2 linked regions of the Sus scrofa genome follow. The protein of the gene in region 1 interacts with the protein of each later gene in a pairwise test. Links are inferred from orthologs where the notes say so. Each region holds a gene or a part of one and is shown in the gene's direction. Other genes may lie near its edges.

The links. The genes of interacting proteins can lie anywhere in the genome.
Region 2: the proteins of THAP1 (region 1) and C3H7orf50 interact in binary tests that used the Homo sapiens proteins (3 or more experiments, as listed by UniProt). The two-hybrid records come from large-scale screens. The link is inferred for Sus scrofa from reciprocal best matches to the Homo sapiens genes THAP1 and CHLSN.

What each region holds. Positions count from the first base shown.
Region 1 is NC_010459.5:11,768,547-11,776,620, reverse strand, and holds the start of THAP1 (THAP domain-containing protein 1), read left to right. Parts: upstream 1-3,299; 5' UTR 3,300-4,230; coding exon 4,231-4,301; intron 4,302-6,131; coding exon 6,132-6,327; intron 6,328-7,760; coding exon 7,761-8,074. UniProt on the Homo sapiens protein: DNA-binding transcription regulator that regulates endothelial cell proliferation and G1/S cell-cycle progression.
Region 2 is NC_010445.4:740,305-748,378, reverse strand, and holds the start of C3H7orf50 (uncharacterized protein C7orf50 homolog), read left to right. Parts: upstream 1-3,008; 5' UTR 3,009-3,159; intron 3,160-8,074. Other genes in the region: uncharacterized protein LOC102163231, read left to right, coding at 1-199. UniProt on the Homo sapiens protein: Hormone secreted from the intestine in response to cholesterol, where it acts to inhibit cholesterol synthesis in the liver and VLDL secretion,leading to a reduction in circulating cholesterol levels. Acts through binding to its receptor, GPR146.

The sequences.
Region 1 (8,074 bases):
CTTCCAGACTAAGTGGCCTTTTGAGAAGAATGTAATATGTGATGTAGGAAAGGTTTGAGGGCTAAAGATGCTTTAAGCTTACTTACATCTAACAGTTTAGATTTTAATGAATTTAATTTATGGGCATATTCGTGGCATATGGAAGTTCCTGGGCCAGCAATTGAATCAGAGCCACAGCTGCTGTAATGCTGGATCCTTTAACCCACTGCGCCAGGCCAGGCATCAAACCTGAACCTCTGCAGTGATGCAAGTAAGCCACTGCAGTCAAGATTCCCAACCCACTGTGCCACAGCAGGAACTCCCAGGTTTTAATTCATTTTAAAATACAAGATTTTAAAATAACTACTTGGAGTTCTCTGGTAGCCTAGTGGTTAAGGATCTGGCATTGTCACTGCTGTAGATTGGGTTCAATCCCTGGCTCTGGAGCTTCTGCATGCCAAGGGAATGGCCAAACACACACACACATGCAAAACCACTTGGAGTTCCTGCTGTGGTGCTGTGGGTTAAGAAATCCACCTACAGCAGCTTGGCTTGCTGTAGAGGCACAGGTTCAATCCTCAGCCTTGGGCAGTGGGTTTAAGGCAGTAGGTCACAGCTGCAGCTCAGATTCAATCCCTGGCCTGGGAACTTGCATATGCTGCAGATGTGGCCATAAAACAAAAAAAAACACACTCTTTTAATCAATTTTAGAGAAAACCTATAATTTATATCTATGTGAAATTTAATCTGTTTCACTAATCCCAGAATATTAGAGATGTAAGAGACTTTAGGAATGGGCAAGTGTCTGTGTTTTCTCTGTGAAACATCAGATGAAAACTATAGACAACGCCCTAGAAAAATGCCTATATACACATGTGTATAGCTTGGGTTCATTTTCAGGGGATTCAAAGAGCTGAAATTAGGATTTAATGGCTTCCAAATTAAGAATTCCCCAGTTCCTACAGCCGCACGCTCCACACGAAGATAATGGGCCCAGAAAGAATGAATGCTGGGATTTCTTTTTTTCTTTTTCTCTTTTTGCTTTTTAGGGTCACACCTGCAGCATGTGGAAGTTCCAGGCTAGGGGTCCATTCGGAGCTGCAGCTGCCAGCCTATGCCATAGCCACAGCAACTCGGGGATCTGAGCCGTGTCTGTGACCTACACCACAGCTCACGGCAATGCTGGGTCCTTAACCCCCGAGTGAGGCCAGGGATCAAATCAGTGTCCTCATGGATATTAGTTGGATTCTTAACCACAGAGCCACAATGGGAACTCTGAATATCACTTTTCCACTCAGCAAATCAATTTACAGACCATACAGTGAAAATTTAGCTTGGGGGGTTGTTTTTACAAAGAAAAATGTAACATTCATTTCAATTCAGTGATATGTATTTCTTAATTACATGCAATTCACTTTACTAGTAAATTTACCATTTTGAAGGAAACATTAGGATAACAATCAACAAATAATAGAAATTTTTATTTCATTTCCAAGTTATAGATAGCCAGAAGAAGAAAGGGGAGGAGGAGCAGAACTTGGCAGAGGCAAATCCAAGCAAACTGAAATAAACCACAAACTTCAAAAGGGCTCCTGACTCCCCCCGCCCAACTACTGATACTTTCTTTCATGTAGATATTCCTCAGTCCTAGGATCCCACAGCTGATGACCCAGCTTCCAAACTTACCCACCCCTCCAAGGCCACTAGTCTGTCAGGGGACATAGCTCTTTTTTTTTTTTTTTTTTTTTTTTTTTTTTAAGGCCATCAGCATCTCGGTAAAAAGCACCACCATCCATCCATCTAAATGCTCAAGCCAGTGGGAAGTTCTCTGGTGGGTTACTGGTTGGGATTTGGCGCTTTCACCCATATGGCCCCAGTTCTGTTCTGGGAACTGAGATCCCACATTAAGCCGCTGAACGTTGTAAAACAATTTTTAAAAAAATGCTCACACCCAAAACTCAAGCTTAAATTACCCCTGATATCTTTATCTTAATTTTTTTTTTCTCCTTTTAGGGCCTCACCCGCAGCATATGTAGGTTCCCAGGCTAGGGAACTAATCGGAGCTGTAGCTGCTAGCCACGGCCACAGCAATTGGGATCCGAGAAACACGTGAGGTAGACCACAGCAACCGGGTCTCAACCCATTGAAACCCGAGTCCTCACGGATACTAGTCGGGTTTGTTAACCACTGAGCCAGGAGGGAGGGGGAACTCCTTCCTCATTCCTTTTTTTTTCGTCTTTTTAGGGCCACTAATGGCCACACTCGAGGCATGCGGAGGTTCCCGGGCTAGGGGGTCTAATCGGGGCTAGAGCTTGCCCGCCCTGCACCACAGGTACAGCACCGCCATTTCCGAGCCGCGTATGCGAACTACACCACAGGTCACCGCAACTCCGGATCCTTAACCTGCTGAGCAGGACAGGGATCCAACCTGCAACCTCATGGTTCCTAGTCGGATTCGTTTCCACTTGCGCCACAGTGGGAACTCTGTGTCTTCCTCATTCTTGTTTCCACTACCAGCAAGCCCTGGTGTTTCTACCTGTTAGCATAGGCATCTACTCCTTGGTCCAAAGTTGCCAATCTCCTGTCTGCTTGCAACAGCCTCTTAATTGGTCTGCTCTTATTAATTGGTCTGCTCACTCACTGTTGCCCCTCCCTGATAAATTCTTGGCATAATAGCCAGAATGACCTTTTATTTTTTTATTTTTTAGTCTTTTGCTGTTGTTGTTGCTATTTCTTGGGCCGCTCCCGCGCATATGGAGGTTCCCAGGCTAGGGGTCGAATCGGAGCTGTAGCCACCGGCCTACGCCAGAGCCACTGCAACTCGGGATCCGAGCCGCGTCTGCAACCTACACCACAGCTCACGGCAACGCCGGATCGTTAACCCACTGAGTGGGGGCAGGGATCGAACCCGCAACCTCATGGTTCCTAGTCGGATTCGTTAACCACTGCGCCACGACGGGAACTCCCCAGAATGGCCTTTTAAAAACGTTTATTAGATCATGTCTCTCCCCGCCTAAAATGGCTCAGCGGCTTCACGCTGCAGTATGCCCCCACCCACTCACTGGGCTCTGCCATTGCAGGCCCCATTCAGTTCCTAGAAGACAGACCTTTTTACTGCCTCCAGGCCTTAGCACGCACTTCTTGTGGCAGAAACCCTCTCCCCCCGACCCGTTGTTTGGTTCTCAGATTTAACATTCCCTTCTCAGAGAGTAGGCAGTGACCCTCTCCTTACTACCCTCATCTCGGCATTCTAATGTATTCAGGCACCTGAGCACACTGTGATTTTATTTACATTTTTATTGTCTGTTTCCCCTTACTAGGACTTAAGCTACGAAGACTGGGCCTATGCTAGTCTTGCTCACCAATTAAAAAAAAAGAAATTATGAGCCATGAGATTACTCAACAGCCCGTTATCGACACAGACGAAAGGAGCCGGCCAAAAGGGCTGCAGCTGTTGGCGAGTCCCAACACGGCACCTGGAGATCATTAAGATAACTGCAGCATTAGTGAGAGAAGCCCCTAGAGACTGGGCTCGCGGTGTGTGCAGGTGCGGGCTTTCCTGGCTAAACTCTTCACCTGGGCTCCGCAAAGCCTCAGAATACCTGAAGCAGGTAAGAGAGGTTAGCGGGCCGGGAAGGGAGTCCACCAAGTTTTACACATCACGCCATCTGGGACCGCCCTTTTAGAGAAACAAGGCAATTATGCAACGACCTCAGCTTTACACCTGTCCTGCTTCAGGCCAGCAGACCCAATAGACGGTAGAGTGCCGCGAATCTGAACCGCCCAGCATAAGTAACCCCAAGCAGCACCGCCGGGGCGGAATCGGTCCTGCGCTCCCACCCCCCTCTCCCAGGTAATTACTCCTTCCTTCCGGAAGCTCGGAGGCCCCGCCCACTTCCGCAACGCTCAGTCCGCCGCGCGGCGGGACTCAGCCAATGGCCTGCTTCCCAAGAAACGTTACCTCTGACCTCAGGGCTAATCAAGAGACAGTAGGACTAACGCCTCGCGAGAGGTGAGGTTGAAGCTGTCTCCGCCATCTTGGAGACGGGAGACGGGCGATGGCTGTGGTCCTTCTGCTAATGCAAACAACAAAACGGACACATTAGTCGCTCCCGAGTGAGCCTCTCGTCATTGTAACTGTTGACCAAAGCTACGGAAGAAGAGAGGGTGTCAAAGTCGAGCGCGACGACATTGATAGCAGCCTCAACTGCCTGCTGGGGCGGCAGAAGTGAAGTAACCAGGACCGGAAGGATGGTGCAGTCCTGTTCCGCCTACGGCTGCAAGAACCGATATGACAAGGACAAGCCCGTTTCTTTCCACAAGTAAGTATCCTGAGCGCCTCCTGGGCCTCGCAGGGGCTGGGGGCGCGCGGCCCTGCTCGGGGGCGGGGCCAGGCGCGTGTCCGCGCGAGACCTAGTGGGAGGGGCGGGGCGCCGTCTGGCGCTGGGACGGGGAGCGGTGGGCGTGCCCCTGGCGTCACCCGCGGCGCTCCGCCCCGGGATGCGCGTTCTCGGTTGCGTCGCCGCGGAGGCTGTTCCTCGCGCTCCAGTTTCTAGCGGAGCTCAGGGTAGCTAGTTCGCGGCCCACCCACGAAGCCTAGAATTCCCGTGAGTCGTGGGGTGTCCAGACCGAGAGGCAGCTGGGTCTCACCACCAGGGTCGTAGAGAAGCCAGGTAGTAATGCCACTTTAGCCGTAAAGTTGAAGAGGAAACAGCCGGGAAGTCACGAACTTTGATCCCCTGCGGTGGGGGGAGTCCAGCATCACAGCATTTAGGCATTGACGTGGGCGGGATTTCAGGGAGGATGTTTTGGACTCTGCTCCTGAGGACTGCTGAGTTTTAGAGAGAGCTCCAGGCTGAGCACACTATGTTAACGGGCAGTAGTGGTACACTGTGCATGATAAAATCAGCCGGGCTGTCACGGACCTGGAAGAAGCCCTCGGAGGGGGACACGTTCCCAGTTCTAGGGCCGGTTTCACCTTAGAGGTCCTAGGAGGAAACAGGTCTCTCCAAAGAAAGCCGAAAAGTAGAGTGACAATGATAATCCGATGTCTGCACGATGGCATTTTCATTCAGCCAAATTCTATATTTACAGATGTTATCACATAAAAAGTGTTTTGCAATAATCTCAACCGTAAATGGATGATAGCTAAAGAAATAAAAGCCAGTGATAAATTATACGATTTATAGCGAAATAATTTCAAGAGCAAAATCTTAAGTATTCCTTCAGTTTGGAGGGTGGGGCCTTTTATGTTTAACAGGGAATGTGGATACATTTTTGTACATTTGGTGTAACACTAGAGAGCTGAGGGAGCATAGAGAAATCTTGAGAGTGTTGCTGTTTCCCTTCTAAGGGGAGAAACACAACACTTCCAGATTCATTTGAGGGGGTGATATCTTAATATTACTCTTGATTTATTAGAATTTCTGAAAGCTGATGGATTGGCCTCCAGTACTTTCAAAGTCAAGGGAGTAGGTCTGGAGGTGGTGACACCATCGCAGGCTGTTCAGCTACCCACCTTCCAATTTTTTTTTTTTTTCCTTCGTCTTTTTAAGGACTGTTCCAGCTGCACATGGAAGTTCCCAGGCTAGGGGTGGAATTGGAGCTGCAGCTGCTGGCCTACGCCACAGCCACAGCAATGCCAGATTCAAGCCACATCTGTGACCTACACCACAGCTCATGGCAACGCCAGATCCTTAACCCACTGAGCGAGGCCAGGGATCGAACCCGCACTTCATGGTTCCTGGTCAGATTTGTTTCGGCTGCACCACAACGGGAATTCTAGTTATAGGATTTTAAAGCAAGTACATTTTTTAATTTAATCACTGCACCAGTACTGGGAGAATATGGAAGTTTCTGGGCCAGGGATTGAATCCGAGCTGTGGCTGTGATCTACACCGCAGCTGTGCAATGCTGGATCGATAACCCACTGTACCACAGCAGGAACTCCAAAACAAGTCCATTTTTAACAAACTAAGGTAATAAAGGCACAACTAAAAACTGTCCCCCAAAAATGAGCAAAGTTAGCATTTTCATCAAATACTCATTGGTGTGTTAACACCAGTATAAGCTAGTTCCTTCCAAAGCAGGAAAGTCTGGATGTGCCCTTTTTTGGAATAAGGTTAGAAAACTGAACTATGTTGTCTTCTTAGGTTTCCTCTTACTCGACCTAGTCTTTGCAAAAAATGGGAGGCAGCTGTCAGAAGAAAAAACTTTAAGCCCACCAAGTATAGCAGCATTTGTTCAGAACATTTTACTCCAGACTGCTTCAAGAGGGAGTGCAACAACAAGTTACTCAAAGAGGATGCTGTTCCCACGATATTTCTTTGTACTGAACCACATGACAAGGTAAGATGTGTTTTAAAATATTGGGGGAGTTCCCATTGTAGTTCAGTGGTTTAAGAACCCGACTAGTATCCACGAGGATGTGGGTTCAATTCCTGGCCTCACTCAGTGGGTTAACGATCCAGGATTGCCACCAGCTGCAGTGTAGGTGGCAGATGCGGCTCAGATCTGGTGTTGCTGTGGCTGCGGCGTAGGTCTCAGTTGCAGCTCCAATTTCGACCTCTAGCCTGGAAACTTCCATATGCCTCGGGTATGCCCTAAAAAAAAAAAAAAGTAATAAAAATAAAATATCAGGTTGTTTTCTGTTTATAAAAGTAATGTTTATTGTGAAAATTTTGAAAATTCGAGCAGTGTTAAGAAAATAAATGTGGAGTTCCCTGGTGGTGCAGCAGGTTAAAGATCCTGTGTTGTCACTACTGTGGCTCGGGTTCAATCCCTGGTGCAGCCTAAAAAAAAAGAAAGAAAGAAAATAAATGTTAGCTGGGACCTATCCCTTGTAAATAACCACTGTTCACTTTAAAAAGTGAAATACTTTTTAAAAATACACAGTACAGTTTATTCGAGTTAAATATCCTCACACAAAGAAGCTCGGTGTAGCTTCATTAACATAAGCTCATTCTGTATTCCTACTTAAATGTCGATAAATTTTATTTTTCTTTATCAGTGATAGTTCAGTTTCAAAGTATTTTCCCCCTAAGTTTTTTTGTCTTGTTTTTTTCTTTTCTGGATTTGGCTATGGAGTACAGTGGATTGATGTGGGATCTCAGTTCCCAGACCAGGGATTGAACCCAGGCCTCAGCAGTGAAAATGCTGAGTCTAACTACTCGAACACCAAGGAACTCCCTCCTACCTCACTTTTAAGTGCTTAGTATTTAATTAAATGTTATTAATAGTGCTGTCATTCTTGCATCCCATTTCTACTTCAGATAGAAAAGTATAATTAGGACTTAAACTATTTTCTTATTTTAGGATGTTTCTCTACCAAGGAAACAAAAAAGTGTATTTTTAAATTCCACAGGTGAATTGTTTTAAACTGGTTTTTTGTGAGTTTTTTTGTTTTGTTTTGTTTTTTGCTTTTTAGGGCTTTCAAGCTCGTTTAGGAAAGCATATGATCTATCCTGGAAATGTTCTATGTGATTTTAATTGATTTTTTAGGGCCACACCTGTGGCATATGGAGGGTCCCAGGCATGGGTCAAATCGGAGCTACAGCTGCTGACATATGCCACAGCCACAGCAACTCAGGATCTGAGCCACATCTGCGACCTACACCACAGCTCACAGCAATGCCAGATACCCGACCCACTGAGTGAGGGCAGGAATCGAACCCACACCCTAATGGATACTAGAAGGATGCTTTTCCGCTGAGCCACAACAGGAACTCCTAAACTGTTATTTTAGTTATGGAATTCTGACAAGCTCTGCATCTTTGTTTTAGAAGGAAGATCTTCTGGAGCCACAGGAACAGCTCCCCCCACCTCCTCTAACACCCCCCATTTCCCAGGTTGACGCTGCTATCGGATTACTCATGCCTCCTCTGCAGACCCCGGATAATCTCTCTGTGTTCTGTGACCACAACTATACTGTGGAGGACACCATGCACCAGAGGAAAAGGATTCACCAGCTAGAGCAACAAGTTGAAAAACTCCGAAAGAAACTCAAGACTGCGCAGCAGCGATGCAGGAGGCAGGAGCGACAGCTGGAAAAGTTAAAGGAGGTTGTACACTTTCAGAAGGAGAAAGACGACGTCTC
Region 2 (8,074 bases), on another chromosome or scaffold:
GAGCCTCCCGCGGCCGCTGCCTTCGTCTTTGTCCGGGAGCTCCCCCGAGCCCCTGCTCTCCCGGAGGTGCTTCTGGGGCCTCTCCTCCTGCCTCTCTGCCGGGCTGCAGGCCTCTGCGTCTCCGCTTCACCCAAGCGAGCCTGGTTTGGTAGCAGCGGGAGCGGCTCGTTCTCAGATCCAAGAGGCTCTGCTGGGTTGAGGGTGTGACGCTGAGAGTGGTGGTTTTCCTTGGTTTTCCTTCGCATTGTGTTGTCCCTTTGTGTACACAGTGGTCTTCCGTTGAGAACTCGTGATATGTGATCGGCTGTAATTTGGGGCATAGGATAGTAGGGTCCTGTAGGAAGCCCTGACGTGTTCTTCTTTCAGCAGGCTAGCTGCACCAGCACTTGATCCTCAGTCACTTAAATGCGGTTCCAGACATGGAGATGAATTGCAGACGGATTTTATGGAGTCCCTTCCAGGACTGCTGTTTGTATTCATGCCTCCAGTGTAACCTTTCAGGGTTTCAACCGCAAGATGCGACCACTTGGTAGCCCTAAGCCCAGGAGACTGTCAAAATCTGGGCGTTCTCATCGAGGCTCGGTGGTTAACGAATCCGACTAGGAATCATGAGGTTGTGGGTTCGATTCCTGGGCTTGCTCAGTGGCTTAAGGATCCACTGTGAGCTGTGTGCAGGTTGCAGTCTCGGGTGGGATCCCGAGTTGCTGTGGTTCTGGCGTAGGCCAGTGGCTACAGCTCTGATGGGACCCCTAGCCTGGGAACCTCTGTGTGCCCCGGGAGGGGCCCTAGAAAAGGCAAAAAGACCAAAAACAAAAAAACCCTGTCAACATCTGTTTTCAGGTTCTCAAGTCTTTCAGCTGTTCCTTGCAGAACTGATTGGCCCGAGTGAAAAATGACTATAACTGTAAGGCTTACTTCTCTGGGCTTCCTTCTTTTCCTCCTGTTTGTTGGTTCCATAATATTTCACTGTAAAATGAGCCCTCTGATGTCTTGACATAGCTCGTTTTTTTGTTCTCTGTATTTGTTATGCATATTTGACTATGTTTAAAGCTGCTCTCTATGAGAGGCTGATCTGAAGCGCCTGGAGCAAACTTGGGTTCACGGCTTTGTGCAGTGAAAACAATCTGTTGAAAGCAGATTGGGTTAAACCAAAGTGCGGTGTTTTCTGTGGGCACCAAGCAAGACGTCCAGGTAGCTAGTGTTCAAAAGACCCAAACTCCTTGAAGGCTTTAGGGGAAAGGTCTTTCAGAACACGGGTGAGTGAGGGGGTTTGGGGTGTGTGTGAGGTCATTGGGATGCAACATCATCAACCTTCTGGTTCCACCTGGTTTGGGGTCTGCACACTTGCAGGCAGTATGAGATTCATTTCTTCCACCTGGCGTGGGTTTCAGTCTCTGCAAAACAGCTCAAAGAACATGGGTCAGAATATTACCTACAGCCCTGGAGGAGGAACTAAAGTTCCTTGATTTTTGTTTTAGGGCTAAGCTATTTTGTCTTGCCTGACTATCTTCATTTATTTTTGCATTTTTCTCACTTAACTGATTAAATTTTTTGGAACTGGAAGTTCCGGTTGTGGCTCAGCAGTAGCAAACCGGACTAGTATCCCTGAGGACTCATCTTTGATCCTTGGCCTCATTTAGTGGGTTAAAGATCCCACGTTGCTGTGAGCTTTGGTGCAGGTCTCAGATGCGGGTTAGTTCTGGCGTTGCTGTGGCTGTGGTGTAGCTGGCCAGCTCTGATTCGACCCTTCGCTCGGGAATTCCACATGCCTCAGATGTGGCCCTAAAACAAACAAAAACAAACCTTTTTGGACCTAGAAGGCCAAGGAGGCTCAAGTTTTCTATATGGACAAGAGGCAGGTGGAGGCCATTGGGTAGGGGCGTTGTGGGGTGGGAGTCTGTTGCATTCCAGGAAGCTGCCATAGAGTCCTGCTCAGTTGCATGGCAAATTACCAGAGCTAAAAATAAAAGCAAAAATTAAAAAAACTACATCAACGCTTCTGTATATTTAAGCTTCTGGATGAACTTTTTTTCCCTAGATGGTCGTGAAGTCCTCCAGAGCAGCTGGAAAACGGAATGGCTTTTCCTGGAGTCCGTAGCGTTGGACGTGCTTGCACACATGGTTCAGAAACTCTACCCCCAAGTGTGTGCCTTATAGACTCTCACGTGTGTGAACACAGGACCAGCAGGGGCTCTGGTATAATGCGGCCAGATTAGAAACTGGCTGGCCTTAGAGAGTGGAACTAAAGAACCCTGCCTGGCTTTCCTATCTCCCATATCGAGAACCTTCCCTTGATAGCATAACCCCGTCCACCTGTCTCCTCCACGTGGTCTGCAGCTTAAATGTCCCCACAGGCCAAGTCTCTTTCTTCCCTTTCTCAGTGTTGGGACTATGAAGAAATCAACAACGGTGTAACCCCTCAGTTTCACTGGCAGTGGGTTGCCTCAGACCTCAGATACCCCGCGAGGTCAGGCCCACCTCCGCCTTCAACCCTCACCCCAGGTGACCTCACCTGGACTTAACAGGTGTCTGCATGCACCTCCGATGCATTGGGAACCCTGGCGCACAGGTGTAATGCGGAGATTGCACAATCTTGCTCCCACTTTTAAGTGAAAGCAGTTAAAAATCTACCTCTGGAGTTTCCCTCCTGGCTCAGCGGTGACAGTCCCCACTAGTATCCATGGGGAACGCAGGTTTAGGCCTCACTCTGTGGGTTTAAGGATCCTGCGTTGCCCTGAGCTATGGCATGGCTGTGGTGTAGGCCGGCAGCTACAGCTCGGATTCGACCCCTAGACCAGGAACTTCAAATATCCATGGCTAGCGGCCCTAAAAAGACGGGGGGGGGGAAATCTATGTACATTTTTATCTTGTTCAACATGAACCCCGGTGGAGCAACGGGCCTGCGCAGCTTCGAACTGGGAGGTCCCGCACGTGGAGGGTTGCCTGGCAACCGCAGGCTCCGGGCACCAGCGGCGCCCAGCAATGACGCCACCGGCGCGTCTGGTCGCGTCCCGGCCCTGGCGGCTACCGCTCGCCATTGGCCAGCGGGGAGACGGAGGCGGGCCTCAGCCAATGGGGGGGGGGTGCAGCTCCGGAGGGCGGGTCCCCGTTACCTGGGCGCCGCGTCTGCCGGAAGCCGGCGCTGGAGGCCACGCGCAGGTAGGCGAGGGGGGCGGTCTGGGGCCCGCCCCACGTGGGTGCGAGGTCTCCGGGGCTGGCGGGTGCGCAAGGAGGGCTGGGCGCTTCCCCGGTCGGCAACCTGGGGGGAGCGCGGGATCCCGAGCGCCGGCCGCTCCGGGCCTTCCCCACTGCTCGGGGGTGCCTCCCGGTTGTCCGCAGTGTTGGAGCTGAAGCAGCCCCGGCCCAGCGAGCCAGGCTTGGGGGTGGTTGGGGTGCGGTTGATTTTGCTTAGCCCCGCAGGCGGCGCCGGGCCGAGGAGGGGAAGGGAGGGAAGCTCTGGAGGAGGGTCCCAGCAGAGGGGGGGGCCTAACCCGATTTAGGTATTTCACTAGTCCTTCCGGACGCCGAGTCGCACGTGGGATGGAGGGGCCGGGGCGGAGGCCGCAGACGAGTTGGAGGCTTTTGAATAATCCAGGGGAGCGGGGCGGCTGGACCAGGATCCTCAGGGTAGAGGCCGTGAGGGGCCACTTCTGGAGGTGCTCTGGATGCGCCAACGGGGTTTACCGTGGCGTGGAAGGCTGTGCAAGACGGGAGTTGTGGGTGACACCAGGGTGTTAGCTGGAGCTGAAAGCGGGATTCCACCACGTGACCATTCTTGGGGGGGAACAGACCGTGCAGGAAGGTCAGGTGTGCAGAGGACGGTGGGGTGTGGATTGGACCCCTCCGTTGAGAGGGTGTGTGTGGGTGATACACACCTGAGCAGAGAAACCTTTAGCCCAAGGGTGGTGTTTCCAGCCACAGGGCCTGAAGAGAGGGAGGGGCTGAGCCTCCGCCCCTTCGGAGTCGGGGCGCAGGGTGCAAAGGGGTCGGAGAGTGGAGGGTGCCTGGGAAGCTGAGAGGAAAGAGCAGGGGAGATGGGAGGGACCAGTCGTGTCCGTTAGATCCACTCGGTGACTCAGAGATAAACAGGACCGGCTGTACTTGGTTTTGCTGTACTTGGTTTCAGGCGGTGAGGTGGGATTTTTGTCAGTGACCACAAACAGGGCAAGGCTGACCTGAGGCCATAGGGAGGTGGCGGCTGTGCTCAGGGAGTCGGGGTGGAAAATGACCAGAAGCATGACCGGGGCTGGTCTGTGGGAAACCCCCCTGGGCTTGCTGGCTGGTGTTCAGGAAAATGGGGCTCCTCCTTGACCCCAGAGGCTGAGGGAGCAGGCCCGTCTGCAGGTGTTGGCCGGATCCTTTGGCAGCCTGGATTTTTCTCAGGTGCTTTTCAGGGGACCTAGAGTCGCTGTTAAGATGTGGCCTCGAGCTGCTGGAAACTGCTTTTTTGTTCAAGTCTTTTCAGGCCCAGGTGGAGGCCTAGAGAAGGGCTCAGGGAGCCTGGCTGGGCTCTGGTCAGGAGCGTGTTAGCGCCTGGCTGTCATTGGTGGTTCTGGTCACATTGGGTGGGAGGGTGGCTGGAACGGAGTTCGAGAAGGCACCAGCGGACTGTGCTTGAGGGTGGAGGATTTCCTACTCTGACACAACGGATCTGCAGCATCTGCAGCACCAGGTTGCAGGTTCAACCCCCAGCCTGGCACAGGGGGTTAAAGGATCCGGCATTCCCGCAGCTGCAGCGTAGGTCGCAGCTGTGACTCAGGTCTGATCCTTGGCCCGGCAGCTCCATGTGCCTCAGGGCAGCCAGCAGAGAAGAAAATAAATAAAAGGAAGAGGGCGGAGAGCCTGTGGAAAGGGTTTTGGATGTGGGAACTTGCAGTGGGTCTTGTAGAAGGAGGGGCAGTGGATCCCGGGGGTGATGGCCTTGGCATTGGCGCCACAGCGAGGCGAGGTAGTGGGAGGCTCCCGGGAGCAGCTCAGGGCTCTGGAGTGAAGGTCCCCTGCCAGGAACAGGGGAGGGCAGCGGGGAGGAGGAGTTGACGGTCGAGAGGCTGAGAGGTGGGGAGAAGCCGCTGAGCGGGGCTGTGGAAGTGCTGGGCAGCCCCGAAGGTCCCTCAAGCCTGGGGTCCTGAATTTGGACCAGGTTCTAGACTTGGGGTTTGGCCAGGCAGGGAGCTGGGAGTGTACGGGCGGGATTACAGAGGCAGACCGTGCCGGTGAGGTTGTGGGCGTGGGACTGAGGGGTGAGGGCTGTTGAAACACGTAGGGTCACTGCGTTGCAGGGTCCGGCGAGGCCCACGGCTCCCGGAGCTCAAGGGCGCTGGAGGGTGTGAGCTGGGGAGATGGGAGGGGGGCCCCATGGGAGGGGTTGGGGTTGCAGGGTTTCCAGCCTGACCAGTGGAGTGAGGGCGTGGGGCTGCGTAGAGGAGCAGAAGCAGGAGGCCGCTCCTCTGAGTGGGAACCTGGACTCGTCCTGGGTCAGGGTGGCCAGGGCACAGCTGCCGTGCTGGGCAACCCCTGGATCATGTCCCGGCATCTGCCAGCACCCCACACAGGTGGCCCGGGTGTGAGGGGACCTCGGGGCCCCCAGTGATAGCTTCCGATTGGAAAAACTGTTCACCTGCGGGCTGTTCAAAGGCCCCGTGGTGGAGTTTTCCAACCTGGCGCCCCGGCGGCCTCAGCCTGGTGGTGCTGCCCTGCCCTCCTGCTGTTGGTCTGACCTGGGTTATCGCTCTCCTTCTGGTGAGGTTGTTTGATACACAGGACACTTTTAACTTTTTTTAAGGCCACGCCTGCGGCATGTGGAAGTTCCCGGGCTGGGGTGGCAGCGGAGTCCCGACTGCCAGCCTGCAGCACAGCCACGGCCACGCCAGATCCGTAACCCACTGAGCGAGGCCCGGCATCAGACCCGCATCCTCATTGATACTAGTTGGGCTCTTAACCCACTGAGCCACAGTGGGAACTCGCGCTGAACACTTTTGAGTGCATATGTTAGGTTTCTTTCTCTTGTTGGAGAAATTGCTGGAAAGTATAAAAGACGAAAACATGCTTGTCATTCTCCTCCCTGAGCGGCTCGTGTTCTGACGTATGACCTTCTCGTTTCTTTCTCCGCACGCGCCTGCGTGTGACTGAGGAACGGGGCTTGTGTGTGTTGCACATACGTGGGTCCCCAGCCCGTCTTTTCTCTTCATGTGGTCTCCCGGCCGCACCCCACGGAGGCCCTGGTCACCGCTGTCCTGGCGTCTCTTGGGTTGCCTGGCGCAGAGGCCTCCCCTTCCGGGCCTGCTGGGCGCAGTTACGGTGGCGGCGGCGGCGGCTTTGCGGCGTTAGAGGCACCATCAGCCTCTGTCGTGTCGTCGTCGTCCGCACAGAAATCTCTGCCGCCATCACCTCGTTAGGCAAATGCCTCGCCGTCGAGTCCCTGGGCCAGAGCTCTTGATCTGCGTCATGAAACCCCCTGTAGACCGCTGTGCCCTGTGCCCTGCGCCCTGCAGTCAGCGGTTCGTGCTAACGGGCTTCCCTTCACTCTGGCTCACGCCGCATCACACAAGCTTCACGCTTCATGCCATCAGACGGGCTGGGCGATCAGATGCGCCGGGCCGTGTGGCTGCCCCCCAGGTGCGGGAAGGAGGCGGCGGGTGGCCACTCCCCGCCCTGCTCGTCCGAGGCAGGCACAGCTCAGTCTTCTCACTCCTCCTCCTGGAAGGCCTCCCACTTTCCCGAATAACGTGCAAATTGTGACTCTTTTTTGACGTACCGATTTTAGGCCCGTAACTTTCCCGATCGATGCCCCTTAGCTTCTTCATCTGCCCGCCTACCTGCCTGCCTCGCCGGTCAGCAGAAGGGACGTCGGGCACCTGAACCGGGGCCTGGCGCTGGGGGCGCTCAGTAAACAGCCTAGTGACAGGTGGAACGCTGACTCGTTTTCTCTCTCTCTCTCTTTTTTGTCTTTTTAGGGCCGCACCCTCGGCCTGTGGAAGTTTCCAGGCTAGGGGTCGAATTGGAGCTGCAGCTGCCAGCCTGCACCTCAGCCACAGCCACGCTGGATCCAAGCTGTGTCTCGCCCCACACCACAGCTCCTGGCAACGCCGGATCCTTAACCCACGGAGCGAGGCCAGGGATCGAACTCGTGTCCTCATGGATACTGGTTGGACTTATTACCACTGAGCCTCAGCAGGAACTCTGGAACAGGGAAATCTTAAGTTGGTGCTGCTTATAGAAATGAACCAAAATCACTGGGGTTTTTGCAGAAAGGCCCGTGAGAAAAGAGAGCCCAGGGAAGGGTCTTCGTGCTGACCCCAGGCCAGCTGCGACCACCAGAGGCTGGTGGTGAAGTCCAGCCTGGCTGGTGGGCGCGCCGGACACCGTTGATGGCTTCCAGCAGCCACGAGTTCGGCAAAAGCACTTTCCCTCCTTCCTTCCCTGGCTCCAGGCCTAAGCTTCCACGAGCCTGCTTCTGTCTCTGACATCTGCTTGTTCTGAACACTTGGCCTAAGTGGGATGACCCGGGTTAATCCCCCGTGACCAGCTTCTCTCTCGCCGTGTTCATGAGTTTCCTGGTGCTGGAGCAGGTGTCTGCCCGCCGACCTGTTTCTGGCCGAGCAGGAGGCCCTCGTGTGGATAGACGCGGGTGTTTGTCCCTCCGTCGGCGACGTCTGCCTGACGCGGCTGCGAGCGGGCGTGTTCAGGTTTTGCGGGGCTCAGTTCCCGGCCTGACCGCCCCCACCTGCCCGGGCGCGCAGGAGCGGCCGCGGCCGGGGCCCGTTTCCCTCAGGAAGGGCCGCGCTCAGCGCCTCCGAGTGCTGGTCGCCCCTTCGAATCTCTCCTCGGGGCACAAGGTCCCCCCTCTGCTAGGAAGGCGAGTCGTTGCCTTTTCTGCCGAGTCGAGCTCCTCGCAGCACGTTCGGTCGGGACCCAGGCCTTGTCCCTGGCGTCTGACCTGCAGACGCGTCTCCTGCTCTCTGGGTGGCCTCTCTCCTCTCTCGGTGGCGTCATTTATAGCACAATCTTTAATTGTGACCCGTCCAGTGTCTTTTTTCTGTTTTCCTTTTCTTTGCTGCTCATGTTCTCGGAGCCG